3 linked regions of the Astyanax mexicanus genome follow. The main gene of each other region encodes a partner of the protein of the gene in region 3 in a complex. Links are inferred from orthologs where the notes say so. Each region holds a gene or a part of one and is shown on either strand. Other genes may lie near its edges.

What was found.
Region 1: plrg1 (region 3) and cwc27 share a complex: the UniProt entries of both Homo sapiens proteins name them as parts of the minor spliceosome. The link is inferred for Astyanax mexicanus from reciprocal best matches to the Homo sapiens genes PLRG1 and CWC27.
Region 2: plrg1 (region 3) and bcas2 share a complex: the UniProt entries of both Homo sapiens proteins name them as parts of the PRP19-CDC5L splicing complex. The link is inferred for Astyanax mexicanus from reciprocal best matches to the Homo sapiens genes PLRG1 and BCAS2.

Annotation. Positions count from the first base shown.
Region 1 is NC_064427.1:22,654,043-22,661,469, reverse strand, and holds the start of cwc27 (spliceosome-associated protein CWC27 homolog), read right to left. Parts: upstream 3,061-7,427; 5' UTR 3,051-3,060; coding exon of another isoform or gene 3,038-3,050; 5' UTR 2,933-3,037; exon of another isoform or gene 2,925-2,932; intron 1,634-2,924; exon of another isoform or gene 1,475-1,633; 5' UTR 1,439-1,474; coding exon 1,397-1,438; intron 470-1,396; coding exon 373-469; intron 46-372; coding exon 1-45. Other genes in the region: protein SREK1IP1, read left to right, coding at 3,038-3,050, 4,601-4,648, 4,764-4,916, 5,084-5,159, 6,208-6,406. UniProt on the Homo sapiens protein: As part of the spliceosome, plays a role in pre-mRNA splicing. Probable inactive PPIase with no peptidyl-prolyl cis-trans isomerase activity. As a component of the minor spliceosome, involved in the splicing of U12-type introns in pre-mRNAs.
Region 2 is NC_064419.1:2,129,637-2,136,584, forward strand, and holds the start of bcas2 (pre-mRNA-splicing factor SPF27), read left to right. Parts: upstream 1-3,888; 5' UTR 3,889-3,978; coding exon 3,979-4,071; intron 4,072-4,977; coding exon 4,978-5,070; intron 5,071-5,240; coding exon 5,241-5,311; intron 5,312-5,758; coding exon 5,759-5,920; intron 5,921-6,028; coding exon 6,029-6,079; intron 6,080-6,948. Other genes in the region: dennd2c (DENN domain-containing protein 2C), read left to right, coding at 391-636, 912-998, 1,084-1,115. UniProt on the Homo sapiens protein: Required for pre-mRNA splicing as component of the activated spliceosome. Component of the PRP19-CDC5L complex that forms an integral part of the spliceosome and is required for activating pre-mRNA splicing.
Region 3 is NC_064432.1:13,738,368-13,746,368, forward strand, and holds the start of plrg1 (pleiotropic regulator 1), read right to left. Parts: upstream 3,051-8,001; 5' UTR 2,896-3,050; coding exon 2,887-2,895; intron 1,289-2,886; coding exon 1,182-1,288; intron 229-1,181; coding exon 95-228; intron 1-94. Other genes in the region: mnd1 (meiotic nuclear division protein 1 homolog), read left to right, coding at 4,025-4,027, 5,609-5,674, 5,896-5,953. UniProt on the Homo sapiens protein: Involved in pre-mRNA splicing as component of the spliceosome. Component of the PRP19-CDC5L complex that forms an integral part of the spliceosome and is required for activating pre-mRNA splicing.

The DNA of each region.
Region 1 (7,427 bases), on a different chromosome or scaffold from region 3:
TAAATTCTGGCACAACACGATGGAATATGGTCCCATTGTAGTAACCTGACAAAGAAGAAAATTTATAACATGTACATTACTAACATAGTATTTGTTTCACTGCCCACTGTCCCACAGGCACTGGCTAGAGTGCAAGAAAGTCCTCCAGGACATTTAGACTCCGGCTGTTGATCACAAAGCAGCATTATCTGTGACTTGAGCATCTTAGTCTGCAGAGCCAGTGAAAGTTGGATTGACGTTTAACAACCAAACCTTGCATTTATTAAATTGGGGAAGCTATTTTTTAAATTGAGAATGAAGTGTACTACTACAGACACATTTAAACATAAAGGAATGTCAAAGAGGTAAAAAGACTAAATATGCTAGACTTACCTTCCATGCACAGCTGAGTGAAGTTTCTGCAGGCTTTGGGAGCTTCTTTTGACCACAGCTCCACATCAATATCACCTGCAGAGGTCTTAATTAAAACCTTTAAGAAAAATAAAATGGAGACAGTTTTAAAAATTGTCTCAGATTGCTAATCTCCCCTGATAGCAAAGAACATTGAAGAAACGTTACTTTTTTTTGGTTGCATAAAATGGCTGAGCGATAGGAGGCTCTTAAGGTATCAGGATCAGATTTCTAGCATTGTTGAACAGGTCTCAAAGCCTGGAGCTGGATAAGTTTAAACTGGCAACACAAATTGATTTAAGTAATTAATGACAAAACTTGTGATTATCATAAACTAAATGGACATTACCTCAATAATATTTAATTGTTGTAAAATCTATTGTGTTCTATTATGTGAATATGTGTTCACATATATTACATAACTTAACAGTGAACAGTATTTTACCTAGTCATGCTAAATGACCAATGTTTTAAAAATTGAGACTCCACACAGTACAAACATTGTTGACTGCAGTAACTTAGGTAAAAACAAAGTATAGCTATACATCCTGAACTATGATTAATTACAAATTTTGTCTTTAAAAATATGGAAACGCTTTGTTATGCTATTCTATTATCATTATGTCAGTTTAAATGGCCTGTGATGTGATTAGGACATTCATAGTTGAAATTATGTTGGGGTTTTTTTAAATAATGTTTTGTAATATCGTCAAAAAATATAGCAAAAACACCCTGAGCACCCTATCGTGATATTATTTTAGGGCCATATCGCCAAGCCTTAATGCTGAATATTTATGTTTTGCTAGCTAACTTAACCCAGTAACTAACTAGAGTTACAGTACAGTGCAGTTTTTTGAGACAGTCAGTGAGTCAGAAACACACACTAAAGGGCGGTGTTTGGGAAATAACCTTGTTTGTTCGTCATATTATTTATTTTTTATATTTAAAGAAACAAAACTCAGTGAACTAAGGCTAGGTTAGGTTAGTTAGCTCCCTGGCTACGCACCTTGCCACTAGTCGGAGGCTCCTGGATGTATATGTTGCTCATGTTTGAAGCAGTATTAGTAGGACGCCAGCTACCGTACTGAAAAAAAAAACGATAATAAACGGCAAAAAACTCGCATAAACATAAAATATCACTCTAATAAATCCTGTACACCGCCGCCAGCTTAGACTTCTCCTTCTTTAACATCCTGACTGGGGGAAAAACACTGCTAACCGCACTGCTGCCACCTAAAGCTAGCGAACCAACCTACAGTTCAGAGGCCCAAGATAGTTATGCCAGAGAATCTCTATAATAGAAAGGTTTGTTTAACCACCAGAGGGCGCACCCAAGTGAGTTTACTGTAGAAAATATAAAATATACAGGTGAGTTCTATATATTTTATTAGCAAAATACACTATTCCGACTTCCAAAATTAAAGGAATGTACCGGAGATGTATATATATATATATATATATATATATATATATATATATATATATATATATATATATATAAAATTACCTTACTATTTTTATTTTGAGTTGTAGCGGTTTAGCTCCATTCACCCCCATTTATTTTGATCTCACTCGCGGGTGCCCTCTAGCGATTCACAGTCATTTTCTGATAGAAATTATAGGAAGTGGGTAGGCTCTCCAACAAATCTTTTAATATTAAAAACGAACAAAATATCACATTTTAAAACCATTGTTATCATTACACATCAAAGACTGGTCAAGAATACCATCATAACCACCTCCTTGTTTCTACATACATTACCCACGGGACACAACAACTGGTAGACTTATTTCAGTCCAGCAGTGACATTGAGAAGTTTAAAAATAAGGGTTCATTTATAACCTGATTTACGTTAACTGATTAAGACTACTTTAAATGCTACTTAAAAGCTAATTGAAACACTACTGTGTTTTTAAAAGAGCCTGACCTTGAGGGACTGACACAGTTAGTGTTTTTGTGTGCCTGTCTTCAACTCCTCACTTATGTATTAGGGATTCACTTAAACTGAGAGTACACTAATGTGGTGCATATCTGAATAAACAAAAGTGTGTATGTGCTTGTTTAGACCTCTGGTGGCAAACTACAAAACGCTAACAACCATACAAACCTTACATGTGGGTCATTATAGGGAGAAAAATATAATGAGTATAATGCTGGGTCAGGCTTTTTACCATAATATTCGCCTCCTATTAGGATGCACATCTTCCACTTTCTCTTATATAATAAGCTCAAATGCCTGGAGCACAGAGTTAGAATACTTAATCTAACATGTTAATAATAGTTTAAATATAGTTGCTGACTAAAGGCAATCTGTACTATACGTGCATTATTATACATATATCAGGCATTATTATTGCCTATTGCAGTGCTAACTGAACCTAATGCACTGATAACAGACTAATACAAGTAAAATGTATGACATTATCAGGTAAATTGATAACATAGATAACAGCCTAATGTCAGTATCAGAGCCAAAGGGAATATTGAATAAACGCCTGTGTGTAAGTTCCCCGGCTTTCAGCGGGTGGCGGTAATGCTCACCGTAAGCTACTAGAGGAAGAAGAAGGAGAAGAGCCTGGTGTGTGTTGTTGTGTTTTGAGGACGAGCTGCATTTTTTTCACATTAAAATCTCTATACTCAGCTGAAATGGCTGTTCCAGGTATGTAAAACTAGCTACAGATCTGACTAGCTTAGATTAGCTGGTTTACCCCGTTTGTTCCTGTTTTGGCGGGAAGCGCGCGCCCGGAACATTCTGGAACAGTACTAGGTTAGCTTAGCTTAGCTTAGCTTAGCTAGGCTTACAGTAGCAGCTCCTATACAAAACTATATGTAGCTAAGATAACTATTAACTAACTAACTAGCTGAGCTAAGCTAGTTAACCTAACTACTGATGCTAGTTAGCGCACTAGTTTTGATCATATTTATTAAATACATATATGAATGTTGCACGGTGTCATTTAAACGTTGCCTTGTTAAAAAATCCCTTTTAGTTAAATAGCTAGGTTATCTTAAATAGCTTTTGTTCTCACAGCAACTATGTAAAGCTAGGTTAGCTAGATAACTAGCCAGCTCACTAGTTAGTTAACGTTACCATATTCAGCAAAAAAAACGTTAAATAAACGTTCACTATTTCATCGCTAGTGCGTATATACAGCTCTGGAGAGACCACTTCCGTTTCTGAATCAGTTTCTCTGATTTTGCTATTTATAGGTATATGTTTGAGCAAAATTATTCTATAAACTACAGACAACATTGCTTCCAAATAAAATGCAAAGAAATTATTAAATAATGCAAAGAAAACAAGTTTATATTCATAAAGTTTTAAGAGTTCAGAAATCAATATTTGGTGGAATAACACTGGTTTTTAATCACATTTTTCATGCACAGTCTTACACACTGCTTTTGTTTAACTTAATGCCACTCCTGCTGCAAAAAAGTCAAGCAGTTTCGCAGTTGGGGTTGGATCAGTTTCGCTTGGTTTGATGGCTTGCGATCATCCATCTTGCGTTTTCAATTTGGTAAAATTAAAGAAACTCATCATTTTTAAGTGGTCTTTCTCCAGAGCTGTACATATACTAGTGCATCAAAATAAAAATTTCAATGAAAAGTTACTATATTTCTGTAATTTAGTTCAAAATTTAAAGCTCATATATAATATAGATGTATTGATGATTATGGCTTGCATCCAATGAAAACCCCAACAGTCAATATCTTAGAAAATTAAAATATTATAAAAGACCAATTGGTACTTTTGGCAATGTGGGCAGTGTGCCAAGTCCTGCTGGATAATGAAATCTGCATCTCCATAAAAGTTATGAGCAGAGGGAAGCATGAAGTGCTGTAAGATTTTCTGGGAAAACACTGCACTGACTTTGGACTTGGATAATAAAACACAGTGGACCAACACCAGCAGATGACATGACTCTCCAAACCATCACTGATCATCAGTAAATTTTGCATTTCATTTTGGAAAACAAGGGACCAGAGTCTGGAGGAAGAGTGAAGAGACACACAGTCTTGAGATCTACTGTGACATTTCCACAATCAGTAATGGTTTGGAGAGGCATGTCATCTGCTGGTGTTGGTCTACTGTCAAACAAGTTATAAAGTCCAAAGATATTCTGGACAATTAAACAATTGTGGTGTATTAAAACTTTTGACTAGTACTGCATATCTTTACTAATGGGTTTATAATTGTTTTTTAAACAGGTGTTAATAAGGATAATATTCGAGCTGGATGTAAAAGATGTGGCTATCGTAAGTATTGAGAATGATCCGTTTGGATCATATTTACTTTGTATTCAGCTTTTAATTAGCATTATTACTGTAATTCTTTATTGTTGCAAAACAAATGATTTCCTTACTTTGCCAGCGGGTCACCTGACGTTCGAGTGTCGTAACTTTGTGCGAGTGGACCCCAGGAAGGACATCGTTTTGGACGTTAGCAGCACAAGCACTGAAGAGAGCGAGGAAGAAGAGCAGGCGGCTGTCAGCAAGGAGAAGATCTTTGGGAGCAATTCTAAAGGTTTGGGCATTATTTGATAATTAGTTTGATCTGCTTAACTATAACTTTTTTCTAGATTTGCAATCACTGATGGCTATAGTGTTAATTATTTCTGGACTCTAAAATGGAAAGTGTAGAAAATGACAGGAATGCTGATAATCAGAGTTTGATATTTGCTTCCTCTGCAGGTTCTCAGGAGGACTCAAAAAAGGAAAAGCACAAAAAGAAAAGTAAAGAAAGATCCCACCGTAAAGCAAAAAAGAGGTACAATCTGCAAAACTTCCAAACACACATTTTTTATTATTTAAATGCATATCTGGAGAAGTATGCCATTTTATATTACTGATACAGCTGTTACAGTATTGTATACAGCATAAAGTGTTGACTGATATTATTATATTACTGATAATAACATACTGATGTTAACAGAAAAATGTTGCATATTGTTGCTGTAAAATACATTTATAGAAGGTTAAATTCAATGTGTTGTAAGCAAAGCTGAAACTGTAATTTGTATTTATAATAGTAACAATAGGAAATATGAAAATATCATAGATTGTGTTTTTATATCAATAAACATTTATTTTAAAGTGCAAATAAAGTAAAGCAAAAATATAAAGTGGTACCATTTTAAATGTGGAAAAAAAAATAACTGGACTGGATGCCACATATTTTTCTTTTTTTTTTTATCCTCTCAGAGGTTAATGGACAGTTAATGGATAACCATTTACCTTAAGTGGTCAGTTAGGGTGCATCTCTGAAGCTGACCTTGAGTTGCTGAGATGTTTTTAAAGAAATTATTTTAGGACTAGTTTTGAAATTTGTGGGATTTGATTTGATCTCATTAAATTTTTACTTCATTTAATAAAAGCAATGTGTATATAACTATATAATTATAATATACAATTCACATTAGGTATACATTCTCAGTGTCAATAGGGGCTTTAATTGTGAATTGTGGAAGATATTTTAGCTGTACATACTCTAATAAGTAAAATTCACTGCAAAATATTTACACTGTTGTGCCAAAAAAAATGAGAGAGCAGTATGTAAACTACCATAACATATTCTTAACATTCTTAAAATCAGTAAATATATATATTTCTATTATTACAAGTAAAATTATACATTTTTATAAGTAATTTGCTGACATGACCCTGTCGCACAAGAATCGTTTATCTGAAATTATAAAAATGTTTAAAAATATATAAAAAGAACATTTTTAATAATATATTTTGCCTTAAATAAAAAATAACAATAGAAAGTTTTTTTGTCATTTATGTTTTATTAATTTCTTATTACTTTGATTCAGGTCTTATTCATCTAGTGATGATGATGATGAGGAGGAGGAGGAAGAGGAGAGCAAAAAAAAGAAAAAGCACAAGAGCCATAAGAAGAAAGGCAAAAAGGAAAAAAAAGAGAAAGAGAAAAGACGTATGAAAAAGAGCAAGAAGAAACTTAAACAGACCTCCTCATCCAGCAGCTCCAGCGGATCTTCAGACACAGACTGAGATGTTAATGTTGTTATTTTTGATGTCGGCTCACCAGGACCAGCATTTCTTATGAACGTAAAGGCTCAGACATTTGCGGCAGATTTTAATTAAAATAATTATGATCTGAAATACCCAAAGACTAGGGGAGTTTCAGAGCCGTGTATAGATATGTTACTGTTTAAGCAGTGAATCTTTCTCCTGACATTGGTAGCTATGTTCTCTTATGGAGGTTTATTGTGCTGGTGGAAAGGTAACCTTTCTTAGTGTATTTTTGATGCAATTATGATTTTGTACAGAAAGTAAATAAAAACATGTGGCTGTTACTTTTCTATAATGTGAACTTATGTTTGTTTATTCTTATAAGTGTAGAATCATATTTATAAGTGCTCATTTGGCAGTGGTCTATTTTTATATAAATTATTGGTTACACTGTCTCCACTGTTTCCATTGGAAGTGCTACATTCAGACTGTATCCGTAAACTTTTATATAATGTGCACAAATACAGATTAAATTAATGCAATATATGGACAATAGGCTCCATCCATATCCACATCCACATTTAACATTGAGCGAAAATGAGCATAAATACAGATGGAGGCTTTTATCTGTACTGTGCTTTAATTTTATCGTTTTTTTTACATGTTCTCTAAAAGCTTACAGACACAGAATAAAAGCTATGTTACCTAATCAAGAGTTTATTAAGTCTTTTAAGAGTTTATTAAGAGTTTAAGTCTGCAATTTCCAGTTTGCCTCTTCTATTTTTTTGTGGAAAACACAATCATTACCTCAGATATTTTTTACTGCCTTCTAGGTTATTTATAATTGGCTAAGCATTAATGCCTACCTTTATTTAAATTAACAACTTACTTTTTAAGAGAAATAAGAATATGAACAAGTAAATTCACCAAAACCCACAAATCCTCAGTCAAAATGGTAAATTTACCAAAAAAAAAACCCTTACCATTCAATGGAAGTCAATGCAATTTTATTAAGTGCAAGTAATCTGAAGACTTCAGCATGTTAAAGTATTTTGAGTGC
Region 2 (6,948 bases), on a different chromosome or scaffold from region 3:
GAGGTGGAGGACATGGCAGAAATATTCGTTGACTAATAATCATTAGCTTAGTTGACAAATAAAATGATCTGTAAAATGTATCTTTTGTTGTGGAGTCATTAAAAAAACGAACCAAGCTTTTCTATCCAAATTCACAGCATATATAGGACTTGTTGAAAATCACATATTTTGAGCCTCTTCTCTTCTGAAATAATAAATTGCCTCTTTCTCCCATTTATTTATTTATTTATTTTTATTTTATGTGTAGAATGAGATTTTTTCCATTATAAAACCCTTGAGGTCTTTAACATTTGTATAAATTTTGAATTTAAAAAGTTTAAATTGATTAAATTAGTTTTAAATTATTTTTTTTTGCCGTTTTTTCCTAAACCTGTTGTTCTCTCCCTGCAGTGGAGTGTGATCTGAGTGCTCTGGTGTCGGAGGCGTTTGTGCGTTTCTTCGTGGAGCTGGTGGGACATTATTCTCTGCACATTGGCGAGACGGGGACGAGCAGCGGCGTCCGCGAGCTGAACAGAGACACGTTCAGGAAGTCTCATCCGTCCCGCAGGGTCCGCCAGTTCCTCCAGCTCTTCATGGACACACAGATGTTCGCTGGCTTCATCCAGGACCGAGAACTCCGCAAAGGGGGCGTCAAGGGTGAGTGAGTGATCCAGGGTTTGGGGAAAAAAAGTTCTTGTGTGTGAAAACAAACCAGCAAGCAGCACAAACAAGCCAAGAATTGGTCCTGGGTGTGTTCTTAAGGTCTTAAGGAGCTAGTTTAGTTTTATCTTCATTACTAACCCAGCACATATATATATATATATATATGGTCATGGAGACGTCTGTGAGTCAGACGTCTCCATGAGTTCTTTTTTTTTTTTTTTTTTTAGTTGAATGTGTTTTAGTTTAATGTGTTTATGGGTTTCTAACAGGCCTGTTTGAGGTCAGAGCAGCAGAATACCTCGCCTCCTGCCCCGAACCCGAACCCAGCGGAGTCAACAAATTCCTGAAGGGACTCGGTAAGATAGCGTCTTCACCTCCACCAAAAAAGGAAGCATTATTTCCCCCTCTTTCCTCCCTGTGTGACAGTTTGCTGTGTTTTAGGGAACAAAATGAAGTTCTTGCAGAAGAAGTGAGGGATTGCCTAACGCAGAAGGAGGCCGGCGTCGAGCGCCGAGTGACGAAACCCGGCGCAGGAGGCTGTGATTCAGCGATCAGGCTGCGGCGATCCCGTTCCTCTGAGAAAAAGAAGCGATCAGAGGGGCGGAGAGACGAGAGAGACGAGAGGTCGAGCCCTGAAAACGCTCCTGCTGGGAGCGCCTGTGCAATTTCAATCGGTTGAAAAACTGGAAATGGACTTTTGTAAACAAGCAACAAAGAAGGACTGAATTAGAGCGGGAGGAAAGGGAGGAGGAGGAGGAGTGTGTGTCATGTTACTGTTGTGTAAAGCAGAAAGCTTTGGATTCGTGTCGTTTGTGCCGGATTGTGTCGATCTGTGAGCTAATGAAGTAGTTCTCTTCACACTAACCCTGATCTGATCTGATCTGATCTGATCTTTCTTCGTCTTTTCTGTGACTCTCAAAAAACAGGACATTTTTATTTTACATTTTTTCTATATTTTACTCCTCGTTCTTTACTCCCAACTGCTTTCCAAACTGGAAAGTATTATTTTTAGAGATAAATATAAATGATTGAGATGAGGAGGTGCTTCTCATCTCCTGCAGAAGTTGTGTATATTTATAATTCCTCTGAGGCACACTGATTATGCTTCTCGATAGATTTTTAAAAGTCTCTAATTATCCTTTTATCTTATTTTTCTTTTTAACAAACTAAAAGTTTGTGTTGTATAATGTCTGCGACGACATATTTCAAAATGCTTTTATATTTGACATTTTGTACAGTTTTATATGTGTGTTTTGTATAACCAAGGAGCTTTTTTTTTGTCTTTTGTGACTTTTTCAAATTAAATGCTTTCATATAAAACCTCCTGTAATCATTTAGTCATTTGGTGTGTGGGAGCTTTTTGCTGATGCAGAAGTTCCTGTAAATGCCTGATTTACGTGTGATAAAGGCTTTGGAAAAGCTGGCAAATCAAAACTGGCAAGTAAGGGCTTCAGGCATTGTAATTAACATTTCATATGCGCGAGCACTGGCTGTGTCTCAAATCAATTACTTGCTCCCTATGTAGTGAATAAACCTTTCCTAAACTCAGATTTTCAGGGAACACAAAAACATATTGCTGTTGTTATTGCTGTATAAAATTTAGCAATGGTTTAAGAGAATAGTTCTAATTTAACATTTAAAAAATATTGATTGAAAAGACAGAACGTTAGCATTTAACATTTTTAAAGCCACAAATTGTAGAATTTCCAGCTAGCTTTATGGACTTGGTAATTCTGCTGACTAAAAAAACTAAACAACTACGCAATATGTATAAGCAATTAATCCTTTAAAAAGAAGAAATAAACTATGGGTGATACATAATATGAAAGAAATAATATATTAAAGAATCCAGTACTGTTAATAATGCTTTAAAACAAACTATAATTGTGTATATATATGGTGCTTAATTATATGTAAACATTTATAAGTAAAATATTGTAAAATAACTGTAAAATGGTGAATATATTGATTATAAAAGGGCGGTGTTAGTTCAATATAGTGTTCCATCTCTTTTTTTAAAGTCAAAAAAATATATGTTTTTTTACCTGAAAATTTAAGTTTATTCATATAAAACCTGGTATAAAGTTTATGATAAGGGCAGGATCCTCATAAACCTGAGAGGCTGCCCACTCCCTGTCTGCACACCACTAGAGGGAGCCCGCGAGAGAGTCTCAAATATATGGGGGTGAATGGAGCTAAACGGCTAAAAACTCAAATTAGAAATAGTTACTAACCCCTTTTCCAGGATATTCCTTTATTTTAGGACAGTAGAAAAGTATTGTATTTAAAAAGCAAAGAGCATTACTGCTACTGTGAGCTGATTGGTTGGTGAGATGATGATGCTGGAAGTACAGTCAGCGCCCTCTGGTGGCAAAATTTATATATTTTGTTCTCTTTTTCCTGAACAAAATTAATCATAAATGAACTGTTATATAAAACAATTATTGAAAATAAACAGACAATATAAAACTGACAAAATAAGAGAGCACTTAAAAATGATACGTTTCTTTGATTTTACCAAATTGAAAACCTGCTTGAATTTCTGCACCAGGAGTAAAGCAGCATAAAGTTATCCAAAAGCAGTGTGTAAGACTGGTGGAGGAGGAGAACATGATGTCAAGATGCATGAAAAAAACTGTGATTAAAAACGAGGGTTATTCCACCAAATATTGATTTCTGAACTCTTAAAACTTTATAAATATGAACTTTCTTTGCATTATTTGAGGTCTGAAAGCTCTTAATCTTTTTTGGTATTTCAGCCATTTATCATTTTCTGCAAATAAATGCTCTAAATGACAATATTTTATATGGAATTTGGGATAAATGTTGTCTGTAGTTCACAGAATAAAGCATCAATGGGGGGTCTAAATATTATAAATATTATCAAAGCTTGGTGTATCTCTGGATTCTAATATCTACAAACTAGCTATGGATATTTTGAAGTAAAAAACGGGCTTCTGCTAAATACCCTGAATATAATGTAAATGAGTGGGGTAATTTTCTTTTAATTTAAAAAGTTTTTTTTTTTTTCGCATTTTCAGATTTCATTAATTGGGACTTGATATACAGTTGAATTTTATTCTAGTAGCATGTAAAAAAATATTTTTTTTTTTAGTAAATTTAGAAGTATGAATAAAAACTTGTCCAAAATAAAGAAAACATTTATATTAAGTGAAATTCTCTGTAAGAGATTCTGTGGTTCAGGTTGAAGGGTATATTCTGGCTGGGATGGGTGTTTTTCCTCCAGGCCTGCGGGCGGCGCTGGTTCCGCTGCGGGGTGAAGGGCTCAGGCGGGCGGCTGCGCGCTGCTGCTGCTGGAGCCGCTGCGGGAGAAACATGGCTGGAACCTCGTCGGTAGCCGGTGAGGTGTTCGTGGACGCGCTGCCGTATTTTGATCAGGGTTATGACGCTCCGGGAGTCCGGGAGGCGGTGAGTACCGGGCGGGGCGGTAACGGAGACCCGGGGCTGTTTAGTTTAGTTTAATTCAGGCTGCGGATCTGTGAGTTTAGAGGAGACGCAGCGTGTTCTCCCTCCTAAACAACAGCCCGGTGTTGCGTCCAGTTACGCTACTCGCCGATACCTGCTTTCCAAAGGCAGTGCGCATGCGCTGACCTAGAGTTATTATAAATTTTCCTGTTTTTTATTATAATAAATCTGTTTTTGTCGTGTCTTTTGTGTTTTAAACAACACGAACTGACTCATTTCATAAAAGTGTAAACGAAAATTAATAATAATAAATACAGTAGCCAGTTTATAATAACCTCCCATTGCCTTAACTTTATTATAATAAAGTGATTTATGCTATTCAAATATACTAAATCTACATCTACTGGAATTTCTACTGAAAACAAGCTCTAATACGGATTTTCTGTTAAATATACACTTGGGTAGCAGGATTTGATATGGTTGCACAATTCGACAGAACACCGGCCTGAGCTGCGCTTCCTAAAGCCGAGTTACAGCCTCTAAACCACCGGTTATATACTCTGTATATACGCTGTAGTGGTGGGCGGTATGATCATATATCATATATCACGGTATTTTTCAAGATTTAAATCATAGATTGAATATCAATGTATTTCTTTATTTTTCTATGTTGGATTTCCAGTGAGTGCATGCTGGGAATTGTAGTACCAAGTTTAACACAGCCAGATCAACGAGGCTGCATATTATTCCACAATAAATAACAGATTAAATGCTAGTTTTGCACCCCTATAAAGTAAAAACAAGTACTAATAAAACAGCAATTGTGATTAATTTACTAAAAATTATAACAGCCTGTACAGTCAATAACACTATATCCTTCTATAACTGATGAACATGTTCTGTTTCCAGGCTGCAGCCTTGGTGGAGGAGGAGACCCGGCGATACCGGCCTACAAAGAATTACCTGAGTTACCTGCCAACACCTGATTTCTCTGCGTTTGAGGTAAATAGATCCTGATCCTGTTTCTATTCACAGATTCTAGTTTGGCTGTGACTCACCTGGTTGTGTGTTCAGTAATATTATCCATAATTGATTGATCGATCGATTGATTGATATAAGATGTTCAGTAGTGTTATTATTTTTATTTATTTTTTTTTTTCCTGCACCCAAAGACTGAGATAATGAGGAACGAGTTTGAGAGGCTTGGTGCTCGCCAACCTATGGAGCTGCTCAGCATGAAGAGGTAGGAGATCCTGAATAACAGATACAAAGACCAGTGGGTTTAGTATATTGTGTGAAATATATTGGTATTTTTGAAATAGGGCTGGATAATGTGCCAAAGATTTATTATAAAATAATTCTTAACTTCAGTTGATACAAAAAACAGCTGAAAAAAGTACTTTCTCTTATCTTTATTGAGAAAAACTATTCACTAATACTTATTTGTAAGTGGTAAAAGTATGTGAACTTTTGCTTCTCAAATTTAATAAAAAGGCTTTTTAAAAAAAGGGAGGAGTAGTTTGCGAAAGAGGGACTGGGTGATGTATGGGTTTAGGGGTGTGGGGCAGGAGGAATTCTCGCCTGTAGCACAGTTGAACCTGAGGGGGCGCTGCAAAGGCAGAAATGAAAACAGAAACACAGCTATTATTGAGTTTTGTGGCTCACTGCCTCCTAATGTACGTAACTTCAGATACGAGCTTCCAGCCCCCTCATCCGGACAGAAGAATGACATCACAGCGTGGCAGGATTGTGTGAATAACTCGATGGCCCAGCTGGAGCATCAGGCCGTGCGAATAGAAAACCTTGATCTGATGGCCGAGTACGGAACCAACGCCTGGAAGTTTTCTAATGAGTACGTATTAAACTGTAGTAGCTTTTGACTTTTAGTTTTAATTATTGTGTTTTTTTTTTATAAAGTAAAACTGTATGTTTATTTGCATCTCTTATTTCTGTTTAACAGTAATTTGGCTTTCATGATTGAAAATGCACAAAAGGAACTGCAGAAGGTTCGGTAAGTAACTGTTGGTGTGTGTGAACAAATGATCTTTAATAGAAAAGTCTGTTTAACTTGGTGGCCATCTTCTTTAAAATGGTACTGGATCTGGATAAGTGGGGAGAGACTAAAATACTCAACTTAATGGTAAAAATAAATATATATTAAAAATTGCATTAGAGAAATCTCATTAATAGTTTCTAGCGTTTGGTATAATAATGCACAAAAAAATGTTTTATAGCTTTTTTTTTTTTTTTTTTTTATGTTTGGTAGCTTTTTCACCAACCAGTAAAATGATGGGCGGGACTTTATCTGTAAACAGATGCCATATTGGTAGTTGCATGAACTCTTTTTTTTTTTATTTTATCCAGTTTCTGATCTTCTAATTTATACCATCTCTGTTCTGTATTTTTATTTAAATATTTTATTTTTATTTCAAATGTAGCAGATATTTCTAATTCTAAATAAAATTTCAAGCAAATTTAATGAGGAATCTGGCATGAAATAGGTTTCCTCCAATCATCCCCAGCATTGAGAAATAAAGCACTTTTTGCAGATGCTCCCACCAGGGTCACAATGCTAGGAATAGGGGCATAGCATCTGCCTGTGCAAAAAAAAAAAATCACTATTTACAACCTTAACCAAGATCAAAGTAGCTCCACACTTCACTGATAGAATTCTGAGGGCTCTACATTTAAAATGAGGCAATGAGAGCTTTAAAAGTGCACATATATGTTTATTAAAACACTGTTTGTTTATATAGTGTTTAATAAACTGTAAACTATAATTAATACACAGTGTTGTGCTGCAGTGCTTTTCTCTGGGGATTATATGGGCTGTGTTTGTGCACCAATTAGCACCTGTGCCTCCATGGAGTGCACCTGGAA
Region 3 (8,001 bases):
GAAAACGCCCAATCTTGCAAACTGTGATCTGTTGCACACTTAATTTTCATCTTATGTTTGTGCATTCCTGTGTCTCTAAAAAAAACTCACTCACCGATTGCTGGGTATCCCAGGTTGTCCAATGGATCAGAGGAGTTAAGAGGTTTTCCCCGGACTTCTTTCAGCACGGGCATGTGTAACACTGGTCCATACTCAGCTCTTAGCTTAGCAGCCATCTTTATCTTGTGACTGAGGAAACAAGTTCACAGGTCCATAATTAATACATTGAAAATACACTGAAAAAAATTCTATATAAACATTTGTAAACTCATTAATGTGCAAATACAGCTATTCTAAAAGACATATACTTGGAAAGACATAGACCGCGATCGTGTCAAATTATTGGCGTGCATCAAGCAGGGAAAACATCCTAGGCTACGTTCACATTATAAGCCATGTTGCTTAAATCAGATTTTTTTTTGCTCAGATCAGATTTGTTTATCCTGATGGTTCACATTCACTGTAAATGTAAGTGATCTGTATCTGTGTGTAATGTGAACAAATCTGTACCAGAAACGCCTCACATGCTGCACACTGATACCTGTATAAATGCCTCCTTCTTCACCAACAACAAAAAAACCCTCATATTAGAGAGACAAGAAACTAGTAGCTTTATAAAGGGAAATGGATGAGTTAGCAGATCATATGTGGAGCATCTTTAACTGGAGAGTGGAGAGAAACAGCTGGTCTGAAGTTCATGCTCAGGTCCAGGAGGAGAAAAAAGGCCAGGAGGTTTGCTTTTGCTGATTTTGCAGCTATAGCTGCACAGCTGCACCAAGAGATGCAGTGTGGGTACGAGAGAGAAGCATGTAGGGCTAATGCTAATACTAATGCGTAAAAGCAAAAAGACGCATAAATTCAGATTTGACCGTTATGAAAGTGACTCAAATCTAATTTAAAAAAAGGCTGATTTGGCACGTTCACACAGCCATAAAAAAAAAAAAATCATTTTTCATCTAAAAATGCTTCAGTTTGCTAGAGAGAGTAAATATCAGACTCTGGATTTCTTCTAGTTCTTCTAACCCTGATGCTCCATCACTCCAGAACAGTGCAAATCTGGACTCATCAGACCTTCACATGACCTTATTCCATAGATCCAATGACCACGCTCATCTTTCAGGTTTTTAAAGCCAGAGACTCACCTCTCCTCGTCCAGGGACACTGGTTTAGCGTGATCAGACACGAACATGTCATGGGTTCTCTTCAGAGATCTAAAGAGCAGAGTGTGGACCGAGTGCTTCTGCACCTCCTGCAGACACAACAGACACAAAACTGATTCAAATAAGGCAGATGCTATATAACAGGCAGAGTATATAACTCAAGAAAAAATACTGAATGAATCAATGTTTTGATGATGGGCGACTGACATGAAATTTCAAGCAGATTTTGGAAACAATCCAAGTAATCCACACATACAAAAATATCCAATCAGATAAGTCCATAAATTAAGTTACTTGTAATAAAGTAGAATGAGAGCCATTTTAAACCCTTTAACATATTTATCTAGAATGTAGTTGTTGCAGAGTCTCATTGTTGAGTAAGAGTGACAAATCCTGAGTATTCTGATTGGCCTCTCCTCATGCTTATTTATCCAATGCGGTTTCAGTATGGGTGGGACTTGCAAAGCATGAGAGAGAGCAGGAGAGAGACAAGTATACAGTGTAATAGCAGCTCTGTCTCCATTAAACACAACATTAAACACATTTAACTCCACAAAAAACTCTACAGTCTGTCTTTACTGGTTGTGTACAGTTTAAACACTGAGCTTTATATTACCCGTGGTTAATGTTAAATTACTGCAGAGAACTGCTGAGGAGAGTTTAAACAGGATTCACTCCTTCATTAACATGGATAAGTGTTAGAGACAGATAATGTCCTCTGTACACTACATTAAAATTAAGTCATATATTAGAGTAACTACAGACTTTAATAAAAAAGAAACCTTTATTTTCTGAGACAAAATCTTTTTGGGGAGGTATATCTTTGAAAAATAGTAAAAAAAAAATAATAATAATAAAAAAAATACATAAGTGACAAAGCTGGTCTTGGGGACTAAATGTTTAGCTGTTCTCACTAGAAGGAAGTACAGATGGAGGGCAGGACAAGAAATAATCGTGACTAATCAACTAATCAAACAAATAATCAGCAGATTACTCGACTACTAAAGTAGTCAGTAGTTGCAGCCCTAATCTCTAGCATTTTGTAAGCCTGTTGGGAGCATCAGCAAGTGCTGTATTTGGGAATGCTAAGGAAGAACAGAGGTGGGGTATTCTACAAAAGTTTATAATCATTATCATGTTTCACTACAACCCAAGTCCATTTCACACCAGATTAATCCTTTATTTACTCTACATTAACCCCCAGTGGCTGTGTCTCTTTTTAAATAGATAGATCTCCTCAGAAAATGAACAAAACTATACTGAACCTGTTTAAAGGGCCAACATCAGACACATATCTCAGTGAACAGAGAATAAAGGTAATTAGAGTAAGTTAGTGTTCTCTAGTTATAAAGCGAATGTAATGCTGGTGTTAAGCTTAAAAAACAGGAACGTTAGTTAGTTGAGTTATTAATGTGAATATTAATACACTAATAACGGGATCTGTTGGTTATTTAAGTGTGATTATGTAACAGATTACTGTATAACCGGTATAATAATCAGTGTTTTATTAAAGAGGTGAGAGTAAAGCAGGGTGTAGTGAATAGAGAGGAGAGTATTGTGGTCTGTATTATAATAATTATATATAATAATAAGTGTTTTATTAAAGAGGTGAGAGTAGAACTGGGTGTAGTGAATAGAGAGGAGAGTATTATGGTCTGTCCCGTGAATAATAATAATACCGCCTTACCTCCGCCATGCTGCTGCTTTTGCTGCTCTGGGTCAGTAGTTCTGAATTAAAGCTGAATCCGGATCAGAATTCGATTTAAACTCCCTGTATAAAACTAAACACACCGCGCTAAACACTCACACACACTCTCACACACACACCGGAAACACGGCGGCGGAAACTCCGGCCTGCAGCGCGGAGAGAGAGGCGGTATAAACTCAGTGCTGCCCCCTACTGTAACCTCCAGCTCTGTATAAAAATAAGAGACCACTCAAAAATTATTATTTTTTTTATTTTACCAAATTGAAAACCTGTGGAAAATAATCAAGAGGAAGATGGATGATCACAAGCCATTAAACCAAGCTGAACTGGTTGGATTGTGCAACAAGATGACAAAGTTATCCAAAAGCAGTGTGTAAGACTGGTGGAAGAGAACATGATGCCAAGATGCATGAAAACTGTGATTAAAAACAGGGTTATTCTACCAAATATTGATTTCTGCATTCTTAAAATGTATGAATACGAACTTGTTTTCTTTGCATTATTTAAAATTATTTGAAGCTCCGCATCTTTTTTGTTATTTCAGGCATTTCTCATTTTCTGCAAATAAATGCTCTAAATTACAATATTTTTATTTGGAATTTGGGAGACGTGTTGTCCGTAGTTTATAGAATAAAACAACAATGTTCATTTTACTCAAACATAAACCTATAAATAGCTAACTTAGAGAAACTGATTCATAAACTAAAGTGGTGTCTTCATTTTTCCCAGAGCTGTATATAATAAAACTTAAAAATAACCAATTCTGTTCAATCTTTTGTGTCCTGTATATGTATATAATACACCCTGGTTCAATCCTGAACCTGACTCAAAAATCCAGAAGATTTTTTTTGTGTCATGTACATGCAGATAATAAATTCAGGTTCATAAGTGAAACTGAATTGGTTCGAATGATTCTTTGAAAAGAACCGATTCAAAAATCCGGCTGAAATGTTTGTGTCCTGCATATACAGTCTATGGTGTCCTGTGAACCTGATTCGGTTCGAATGATTCTAAGAAAAGAACCGATTCCGGTATAGGAATGAAGGCAGTTGGCGGGAAATGTGGAGCAGGTTGAGAACTGAATCAGAGGAGCTTCAGTCAGAGGAGTGATTTAAAAATGGTAGGACTTTAATACTGTGTTTAATATCTACTTTAATAGATTTACAGTAATAAAACATTTTACTGGAGGTGAAAATGAGCGGATTGTGTGATATTAAACACAGTTTTAGGTAGTTTTAGGTGCGTGGTTTGTTTGGGTTTGTTTTTAGCTTTAGCTAAATCAACAGCGTTAATTAACAGTCTAAGAGAAAACCATAGGCCTCACATCGCTTTAGTATAAATAACGATCTATATTAAAGTTTAAAAACTTTATTAATCTGCTGGATTTGTAGTCAGAGTTCTCTTAAATACAGCCGCTGTTGGTGTAACGTTAGTTTATTAGTTACTGCAGGTTGTGGTGTTTTGTCTTAGTCTTTTAGTTTAAACAGATAAAATCAGTGAAAGGTGAGTTTGTTTTTATGTGTTTTACTGTGTTTATAACGTGATTTAAAATATATAAATCGTATAAAATGTTATTTTACTCCACCGGTTTAAAGGCTGGAGTGTCTGTACGTGGTAATCAGTTCCCGTAGTGTAGTGGTTATCACGTTCGCCTAACACGCGAAAGGTCCTCGGTTCGAAACCGGGCGGGAACACGGTCTTCATTTTTCATTAAAATTAATTAAATAACTTAATCATTTTATATCAGAGATAGTAGAGTACAGCAAACAGTAAAACAATAATCACAATAATACTGTTTTTATTTCTTTCTTTATTTCAAAATAAAGGCTTAGTATCTCAAAATAAAGAATTTGTACCTCAAAATAAAGACTTGGTACCTCAAAATAAAGACTTGGTATCTCAAAATAAAGACTTAGTATCTCAAAATAAAGACTTGGTATCTCAAAATAAAGACTTAGTATCTGAAAATAAAGACTTGGTATCTCAAAATAAAGACTTAGTATCTCAAAATAAAGACTTGGTACCTCAAAATAAAGAATTTGTACCTCAAAATAAAGACTTAGTATCTCAAAATAAAGACTTAGTATCTCAAAATAAAGACTTAGTATCTCAAAATAAAGATTTAGTATCGCTGAATAATTACTTAGTATCTCAAAATAAAGATTTACTATCTTAAAATAAAGATTTACTATCTTAAAATAAAGATTTAATATCTCAAAATAAAGACTTAGTATCTCAAAATATCAAGATAGCATGTCAAAATTACACAGTATCTTGAAATAAGTAAGTTGTTTTTTTGACATACAAAGTCATTATTTTGAAAGGCTATTTCGTTATAAATTTCATTATTATTAGTCCCTTAAAAATGGGAAGCATCTCAAAATAGTGAGATAGTATCTCAAAGTAATAACTTAGTATCTTAAAATAATAAAAGAGCAGTTTACACATCAATAAGGAGAAAATATTCACGTAATTGCCTAAAACCATATAAAAGCCTAAAACAATATATCATAAAAGAAATCATTACTGGAAGAAAATACTGGCTGAAGCTTCTGGGTGATTTTTATTTTTAAGTCTTTTTGAAATTTTATTTTGGCCACAATGTAAATAATAAAAATTATTAGTGTTTGTTGATTTTAAGATTGCGTTGTCATCTGCCTAATAATGTCAGTTTTTACTAAAATTTTACTCTCTGAAACAGTCGAAGAAGAAAGGACTCAGTTTGGAAGAGAAGAGGTCTCGTATGATGGAGATATTTTTTGAAACAGTAAGTAAATTAATTTAGTTTTTTTAAGTAAACTGTCAGTTAAATTTACAGTGTTTCTGATGTATTCTCTTTAAAAAATAACTAAATTATTGGAGATTTTTAATTCCAGCTTTAGTTAGGACTCATACTGTAATTCTACAGCTCTGGGAGGCAGACAGAAGCCCCCAACTGGTTTCCACTGCAGTGACTGTCTGATTAAAACTGTATTATTATTTTTTCAGAAGGATGTTTTTCAACTGAAGGACATTGAAAAAATTGCTCCCAAATCCAAAGGAATCAGTAAGTAGTGTCATTTATGATAATTAAATGTTTTTTACATTATTTAAAATGTTCTGCATTGTAGATTAAAGCTCCACTAGGTAGGATTGAGATTTTGTGATCGTGGGCTCCCCCTACAGTTGCAGAGTGTAATAAATGTTTCAGGCGGATTAGTTTCTCTTTCTTGTTTTCTGGCTTTTACAGACATATTGGGTCTCTTTCCAGCTTCTGCCAGAGTGTCTGTATGTTAGTTTGTAAAGAATGAACCAGTAGTCCTTGTAGAACTGTTAGAACTAAAGGTCGGAAAGCAGGTCGCAGTTCTTGCGAGCGTTGTTCGCGGTCGCCTCAGAAAATTTACAGTCTGGTTTGAGCTCAGAGGCGCTTCGGCACAGACACGAGAGCACCGTTATTCCTCCTATTACACCTCAATGCAGCGCTGCAGTGAGTTTCACACTGTAATTTTACTTCTTTAAAAAGATAAAAAATCAAGAAAATCCTACTTAGTGCTGCTTTAATACTAAACTCATCCAAACTATAAAAAAACATATGGAATTATTTAGTATTTATTTTTAAAGTAGCTCCTCCTGTTGTTTAGATTACCAGTTTTGCACTCTGCTGCATTTTCTCAGTCAGTTTTATGAGGTAGTACTCTAATACATATTATGAGAAGCAACAACTACTCAACTAAATAAAGAAAAAGATACTTTAAGAAAAAATGAAGGTCAGTCAATCCGAAAAGAAGAATTTTATTAACTTTGAAAGTATACTCAGGCGCAGTCGCCACAAAAACCATCAAAAACATTATACTGATGAAACTGGCACTCATCAGGAGTTTCCTCTGTTATAGAGGATAAATTAATCAGAGTTACCAGCATCATAAACCACAAGTTAACAAACAGCTCCCCAGATAAGAGCATCTAAATACTTCACATTTTGGTTTATTTAACTTTATTTTTAAGTTACTACATGATTCCTTATGTGTTCCTTCGTAGTCTGATTACCGTATTTTTCGGACTATAAGGCGCACTTAAAAACTTTTAATTTTCACAAAAATTGACAGTGCGTCTTATAATACGGTGCGCCTTTTGTATGGATTTTACTCGTCAGGTTGTAAGGAGCAGTAAACACACACTCCGTGCAGCATTATAGAGAGTTTCAGTGCTATACAGAGTCCAGAGCCGTGCAGCTCCGAGGCTGAGCAGCAATAGCATTAGCTAGATGCTAACCGCTAAGCTAGCTAGCTTATTCACTGAGATCAGTATTATCTAAATTTTACTCGTCAGGTTGTAAGGAGCAGTAAACACACACTCCGTGCAGCGTTATACAGAGTTTCAGTGCTATACAGAGTCCAGAGCCGTGCAGCTCCGAGGCTGGAGCAGCAAATAGCATTAGCTAGCTTATTCACTGTTCAGAGATCAGTATTATCTAAATTTTACCCGTCAGGTGTAAGGAGCAGTAAACACACACTCCGTGCAGAGCCGTGCCGCTCTGAGGCCGGAGCAGCAATAGCATTAGCTAGATGCTAACCGCTTAGCTAGCTAGCTTTTTCACTGTTCAGAGATCAGTATTTTCTAAATTTAGCACTTTTAATACTGCTGGAGCAGTATTATTAGAGTTAGATGCTAATCGCTAAGCGTTCACCGTTCAAAGGTGAGTTATCGGCCTGTAAGTCTGTGCTGCTTTGCCTGGCTAGCATTAGCTAGATGCTAAGCGCTAACTCTCTCAGAGGTGAGTTTTATCAGCCTGTAATCTGCTTGTTTACCGTGTTAAAACAAGCTACGGGGGACGAATCGCTAGCTAATATCTCACTGTCTTACCAGAACACGCAGGATTACTCAGTGTAACGCTGTCGTTTAAGTTTGGGTTAACTTTACTAGTTTAGGTGACTAGCTAGCGTGCTAGCGGATAGCTATGCTAACACTGGTGCAGCAAGCCTTAGTGGACATCTGGAAATCTAAGCTTACTGTAAATAAACTGAAGCACGTTACTCACCCAAATAAACAGTTTTCAGGAGAGGAATCTGTGTAGATTAATATCCAGCACTCGTTTGACTTTGAAAGAGCTAACAG